Caenorhabditis elegans: one gene and its partner. The protein of the gene in region 2 purifies or fractionates together with the protein of the main gene of each other region. This does not show direct contact. Each region holds a gene or a part of one and is shown on either strand. Other genes may lie near its edges.

What was found. The genes of interacting proteins can lie anywhere in the genome.
Region 1: the proteins of adk-1 (region 2) and srh-56 fractionate together in Caenorhabditis elegans (co-fractionation; one large-scale study listed by BioGRID). This does not show direct contact.

What each region holds. Positions count from the first base shown.
Region 1 is NC_003283.11:2,770,222-2,774,040, reverse strand, and holds srh-56 (Serpentine Receptor, class H), read right to left. Parts: upstream 2,182-3,819; coding exon 1,836-2,181; intron 1,775-1,835; coding exon 1,584-1,774; intron 1,261-1,583; coding exon 1,030-1,260; intron 852-1,029; coding exon 773-851; intron 710-772; coding exon 522-709; downstream 1-521.
Region 2 is NC_003282.8:11,208,809-11,212,629, forward strand, and holds adk-1 (Adenosine kinase), read right to left. Parts: upstream 2,024-3,821; 5' UTR 1,997-2,023; coding exon 1,922-1,996; intron 1,849-1,921; coding exon 1,532-1,848; intron 1,471-1,531; coding exon 1,365-1,470; intron 1,305-1,364; coding exon 978-1,304; intron 926-977; coding exon 722-925; 3' UTR 501-721; downstream 1-500. Other genes in the region: R07H5.9 (Kinesin motor domain-containing protein), read left to right, coding at 33-100, 145-334.

The DNA of each region.
Region 1 (3,819 bases), on a different chromosome or scaffold from region 2:
TTTTCGATTTTTGACAATTTTTCGAAATTGTTGAAATTACTGAAATCGGCAATGTTACCTGAATTGCCATAATTTTCAAAAATGCCGAAAATTTTCAAAAATCTTAAATTGCCAAGACTGCCCAAAATGTTAAAAAACTTCCGAAATTGCCAAAATTCATGATACTGCTGAAATTGGTGAAAGTTCTAAGTTTGTCCAAATTGCCCAAATATTTTAAAACTGCCAAAAAGTTTGAATTTGCGAACATTGAAAAAAATTGTCAGAAATCCTAGAGTTATCGAAATTACCAAAATTGACAACTTTGCCGATATGGATAAATTGTCAAAATTGCTGAAATTCGTGAAATTGCCAAAATTTTTCAAAATTGATGAATATGCCAAAATTGCCAAAATGGCTCTCACTAGCAAGATGCGCATCTGTTTCCCGAGTGAAAATAGTCAAGTTTTGTCCAAAAAAAACATATTTACTAAATATTTGTAAAAAAATCTTGCTTGGCAAATAAAACGAAAATTTAAAAAAAACTAATTAGACACACTTCCATGTGGAGACGTCACAGGTTCCACGATGATAGTCATTCTCCGTTGTGAAAATCGTTGTCCAGGGATCAGACTTTTAGTGAAATCTCTGTATGGTTTGTAAATAAAAAGGGTGCAACAGGTGCATAGAAGTCCGTGATTTGCCATAATTAGCATAGCGTTGTTGTTGTAGGCTGCAAAAGTTTGGAACGTGTTAGCCATGTTTTGGCTTTTTTAAATAATTTGCACTTTCTCACCTTGATTATAGTAATTCATTTTGTCTGCATACATAGTGTAGGCCACAGGAAATGCAATGGCAATCCATGGAATTGAGATCTAAAAAAACACATGCTAGAATTAAATGTTTAAAATTTTAAAAATTTTGTGGTTTTTCAATTTGTCAAAAACATTTTTAAATTTTTAAAATTGAAACAAACCCATTTAAATTTTTTTTGCATTTTTTTGCAGTTTCATTTGGCTATTCCAGTTAATTTTCAGTTATAGTTATACTCACCTGAATAGAAACATTCTTCAGAAACTTTCGCTGAAGATTCTTCGTCGCCGCCGATATTTTGGCACTTGATACTAGTGTGAGGTGATAAACGGTGTGTAACAAAAAGAAAAAAGTTTGGAAAATAACAAATCCAAAACCAATTGTGATTGACCAGAATGGCAAGACCTCTCCGCCCTGCAGCAGTACATAGGTTTTTGGGTCCCAGAATTCGCTCGTCGGACAGGGGATTCTCTGTAAAATTAAGTTGAATTTGAAGACGGGTGTTAAATACACACGACCGAAAAATATAATAAACACTTCAAAAGTTTTTAGTTATTCAAAAATTGACATTTTTGAAAAAAATTGAAAATTCCCGCAGATCTGAACTCCTAGAATGTTTCAATATTATTAATAAGAACGCAATTAATTCAAAAAAAATCTTTTGGTCGACTTCCAAAATTAGGATATGTGAAAACTGAGAGTTTTCACATTTTTGACTTTAAATATAAAATTTTATAAAATTTTTTGAACATTTCTAATATCTCTGAATGGGCATTTTAGTACATTTTACTAACCTCCAAGACCTTCTGTCTCATTTTCAATTGGTCAGTGTCGTCTAGATAAAATGGAAGCATAACAACAAATGTGAATAAATAGTTTAATGCGAAATATGTTAAACGAGTTTTTCTCCGTTTGATTTTGAATCGAATCGTGGAAATTTGACTATGTTGATTTTCATAGAGCATTATAAAACAGACACCCATCACTGAAAAACATGTGGTATTTGAAATTTATATTTAAATTTCCTAAAAGATCCTAAAACTTACTAGTGACGGAAACCTGTCCCCAATACGACTGCCACTTGACACCTACTCCCAAATATCCTAGAAGCCCAAGGGGTACTCCGGAGGCACTCGGAAAAAATATATACGGCCCCGAGTACACTGTGAACATCAAATCGAGATTTGTGCTCCAAGCCAGGGATATTAAAAGTGGGATTTTCATATTTTTCATCCGCTTTGGCGTCTTTGTTATAACTGTGTAAAATGTGAATATGGATAGAGGAACTGTTAAAAGTGCTGTGAAATGATATGCATTGCGCAGATAGTCTGCCGAGCCAAAATAGGAGTAGGTTTCCCGGCAGTTTGAGGTGTTGTTGTCTGGCCATGCCATTGGTTTCCTGGAAGATGTTTAATATAATAGGTTTCGATAGGAATTCCGAAAGTGTTCACAAGCTAAGCGTTACAAGAAAAATTCCTTAAAAAGCCAGAAAACCAGAGCCTAAAAGTTCAAAGCCCCATTTGCATGTAAAATGATCCGCGCGGTAGAGTTGGACGCGCCGAAAAATTCTTGATCGTTGATGTAATACCACCGTAATCCTGCTAATTTGATAATTTGAGGTGCGGAGTTTTCAATTTTTTTTTCTCGGAAATTTATTTTTCTAGGAGGCTCTGACTTGGAGTTTCGATGTAATGCTAAATGCTGTGTTAGTGATTAGGGACATTTAAAAAGGGAAATGTGTTTTGTGACAGATCAAATGATCATCTAGGTTGGCGATGCAAAACAATACGGCAAAAAAGTGTAAAAAACTGATGTCTTGCAGCGGACATTTCCCGGGTTAATTGGAAAGTAAATGGGACCCCACATCTTTCCTGATTTTTTGTCCGGAATAGAGGCTTTACCAGAAAAATCTTTACAATTAGTTCTTCAATTTTTACAGAAACCTTTTTATTTCAACATTTCAGAATCCTAGGTTCAACAGCTGGAAATTTATCAATTGGACAAAAACTTGGTTTTAATTCTATTCAAACAAGGGCCTATTCAAAAAAATTGAGCTTCTTATCCACCTAAAAGTAACGTTTGATCCAAATTATCGGGCTAAGAAAGGACTAAGAGTAGTCGGTGCTGAAGATGAAGTCAAAATTGAAAATCAAAGGTTTGGGGTACATGTCAAAAAAAACAATTGTAGGAATTGCTAGAAGAAACTCAGCGGATTCAGTTCGAATAGTTGTTTGAAAAAAGTAGATCCTCATAATTTGTTCGACTTCTAATTTGACCAGAAATCTACTACACCGCAGTAGAAATCAGGTATCCTGCTGTGTTTTGTCTGTGGCTTCTTAGCTGCCGAAGCGAGAAAAATGCAAACAAACTTCGAAAATGTCATAAATTTATGCTATTTTTGCAAACTTAGTGACGACCTAACAAATCTAGAAAAATTGAACTTTCTACCAAATCTAAGTAGATTTTTTTGGAAACCAATAGATTTAGTTATATTCCAAAAAACTACATACTTATGAAACTCAGAAGTAAAAGCTTTCAAAATGTGACTGAACTCGCCAAAAAGTTCAATAAAATGAGCCGCGCGGTAGTTGTTTCACGCCGATAAACATTTGATCGTTGATGTAATACATTTCCACAAACCTGCTAATTTGATCAATCGGGGTACACAAGTTTCCCAATTTCCTTATTTCTCAGAAATCGTTTCTCCAGAAGGTCGTGTTCAAGTACTTTTCTGACTTGAATTTTTGATTTATGGTTAATTGTAAATGTTTCGTGACCAGGAATCTTTCAGAGAAAAACTTCTTCTTCATCAAATTACATAATTAAATGTTATTTGAATATTTAAACAATCTGATACTTATTTTAAAAGTATGGTAAATTTTTGTAAAGTTTTTGAAAACCTCAGGGGTCCTGAAGCTGTTGTGTGGTCGATTTTTCAATTTTTGAGGTATCAGAATTTAATTATAGGTACGAAGTTTTTTTTTAAGAAAACCACTGTCTGGATAAAAAATTATTTTTCTGCAGTGTTCC
Region 2 (3,821 bases):
AGATAGAACAAAGAATCATATTTAAATTTCAGGATGAAAACGGATGTGTAAATGTCAAAGTAGTTGTCATCGAGAGACCAATCATCCGAGATAAACTCAGGTTTGATTCGTTTTCAGAATGAGCAATTGATAAGTAAGTTCCAGACCGATTGCTTTCATTGACAGTGTATTGTCTGCTCATGTGAAGAGCATTCTAATCAATGTCCTTCATGAGAACTACGAAGGTCTACCAGCGGAACAACTGATCAAATCAACTAATGTTCTTTTTGCTTTCCTTGATAAGAACGGCGTACAGAAACTTCGACGTGTTCGGAAAAGTGACGTTGATCACTAACAGTTTTACAATTTACCAAAACTGTAAGTAATCATATTCCTCTAGTCCTGATAAATATGCAACAAACTTTATTTCAGCCGTGGCAGTGTCGTTCTGGTTCTGGATCTGATTGGCTTTGTCGAAAAGGGGAAGAAGATTCCAATTCAAATCGACATGGATGAAGAATAAAACTTTGCCATTTTATTAAAACACCTGATAAATGAATTATAAGGCACATTTTGGGAACATTTGACAAAAAAAACAACACCAAAAGAAAAATTTCGAATAATAGGGATGCTCGAGGACGGGGAATGGGGAGCAAAACAAAGAACAATTTGATATACTATAAACCAGGGGACTGGGAAATTGAAAGCAGAGAAAGTTGGGATCACAGATTATTTTATCAGTTTAATGGTACTTGCAAACAGATGGCACTGTGCATCCGTGCTTCTTGATGATTTCTTGAGCAGCATAAGATCCACAGGTGACTGAAGCTTCGACTCCCTTTCCTTGGATGAATTGAGAAAGGAAACCTCCGACAAAAGCGTCTCCGGCACCGTTGGTATCGACGATTTCTTCCTTTGGAAGACGAGTTACTGGGAATTCGGTGACCTGTAGATTAAAATTGAAAACAATAAATTCAAAAATTATCAAAAACTCTCACCTTATCTCCTTCCACGACGATGACTGGCTCTGGTCCTTGAGTGAAAACAACGAGTCTTGGCTTAGTAGATTTCTTTGGAAGTGCAGCAGCCTTCAAAGCGATCTCCTTGACACAGGTGGTCTCCCATCCATTGGCTTTAGCAAAGGCAGCAGCTTCGTCTTCGTTTCCGAAAAGAACATCGACCAATGGAATGATTTCCGAGAGCTTATCGAAGAAAAATTGGGAGATGAACGGGGCGGAGAGGTTAAGGGTGAAAGTCTTGTTGAATTCGGCAGAGTGGCTTGCGAGTTGGAGAATAGCTGGTGGGCAGACAGTGATGAAGAATCCCTGAAAATTTTACATTGAGAATACTTTTGTGCTTATTTGTAAATCAATTCGATAACTTACAGTGACATAGAAATATTTGGCCTGCTCGATGATCTTCTGATTCTCCTCCTTCTGGAGATGATCTTGAGTGAAGGTGTTAGCAGCAGCCAAATGAGCACAGAGTGATCTGAAATCATTTCAACACGGCAACGATGATTTTTCTGTCCGTCAAACAATGATCCGCTTACCTATGAGTTCCGTTGATGAGGGCTGCGCAGGTACCGGTCTTAACTGTCTCGTTGATCTGATAATGCACATTCACTCCAGCTTCTTTGGCTTTCGATGCCAAAAGATCTCCGTACTGATCTTTACCAACAGCTCCAAAGAAAACTGTTCGGTTTGGTGCGTTCAAAATCCATTGAGCAACACGGAGCGAATTCTGTGCGGCTCCTCCTGGAATGTACTCGACTTTGAAATCTCTGGTAAGCTCGGTGAACATGTCATTGTGCTTGTCGTCGCAAAGAATGGCGTCGTTTTCTTTGAGTCCCCATTTGTCAAGGAATGCCTGTAGATTTCAGCAATTAAAATGAAATATTTTTGAATGTGCTTCTAGATTTCTAGAGAAATCAAAAACTTACCTTTTCAACGGTGGTTTGAATGTCCAACAATGGATTGCACATTCCGATGAGGGTGTTTTCTGGCAGAGGAGACATTTCCGTGACGTGAGGAGATGGGATTACCTGCAGATAGACAATTAGAAAATGAAAAGTGAGAAAAAGGCGAGTTTTGAACGAGTAAATAGACATAAGAGAAAACAAATAAGAAGATTGGCAAAGAAAGAGTGCGAAAAAACCGTTTTCGTGCTTTTTTGAACACGAATAACGCTGTAAAGCCAAGATATTTTGTGTTTTAGGACAATACATTTCCACGAAATCCACGTTGTAATTTGAAATTCCGGCCGAAAGACATTTTTGATAAACAACGATCGCATGGGATATCGGAGTGTCGTTGCAACGTGTTTTAAGATTTTATCGATCATAAATCTTTGCTGACAGAAGCGGAAAGTTTTTAAAACACCGTTGCTATCTTAAAAAACATGAACGTTTAAAAAAACCAAGAATAAAATTTGCAAGTTTCTAAATGTGGAAGTACCTCCTTCAAACACAAATTAGTGAATGCTATTTTGAATAATATTTTGAATAATATATTAATAATGGCTGATTGTTTGATGAATACTGTGTATTTCTTTTCCAATTCTACGATTTTAAAGTGGGAAGCAGTTATGCGGAATGGTCTCGCCAAGAGCCGTCTATTGATATATTTTTCTCAATCAATGGCTGGCGCGTGGCGAGACCAATCCGCATAAATGCTCCTCCCTTTAAAATCGTAGAACTTGAAAAATTCATAGTAAAAATACGATTTTCGAAAGTGGGAGCGATGAGTTTCCAGAAAAGTGAACGATCAGGCGTGGAAATTCAAATGTAATAAGATAACTTATTAGAACTTGGACAAAAATGAGAATGAGTTACACACAAAGTACACGATTCTGATGAGAAATGCGCCTTCCAACTAGCCTATCTTCTATTTTATCGTCCATTACTCCCCAGTCTGTCTGCAGTTTCTAAAAGATCTCCGCTATTTCGTTATCGGTTTTTTGACCGGCAAATTGTGACACTGATAGTATCTACCGATATGCCATCTAGCCTCAGAACAAGAAAAGTTGGCTAACTTGCGGTGGTGGTTTGAACGAGACAATTTACAAGTTATGTTCAATTTAGAAAACAATTTTAGTTGTCAATGGCTTTTAAACCTAGCAATTACATTAAAGTCTATTGCAAACAGTTTAAAATTGAAACTAAGCCTGAATAAACAGACACAGTGCGTAATGCAATTTTCATGTGGAAGTTGCAAAAAAGATAGAAAAAAGAGAAGAAACTACAACGGCAACTGTTATGAAAAAACCGATTGATTTCCATTGTGTTCTATGAACAGAAGGTGTCTCCTGCACATAAGTTCTCAAAATGAGAAAAATTTTCGAAAATGGCCTGATTGAAAGTTGATAGTCGATCAATTAATGATCTATTGGGGTTTCTATGTGGAGTAATATAGAAGTTGTACTCATATTTATTGGCAGTAGTTAAACAATTACCTATATACTCCGAAAAGTAAAAACTACAAAGTTTTTTTCGTACCCACGTTGTGAGTTGATACTCAGCTAATAGGTGAATTTTCATATTCTCCTTCACTGCACTATTCACTATATATATAATAGATAGCCGTTATAGAGCATTATTTTCTATGAAAATTAAACATTTAAATCTTTTTACTTATTGTAAATAAATACTTTTAAAACCTACGTTTTGAAGAACTTGCATATTTCAATTAAATGAAAAAACGTGTTACAGATTTAATATTGCCACTGGAGATTTAGTCTCAATAAACTCCAAGTAGTCTAACATGGCCGCACATTAGTAAATTGCCAAAATTGGCCAAAAATGCGTATTTTTGAGTTATTTCAAGCATATTTGTAGGTCCAAA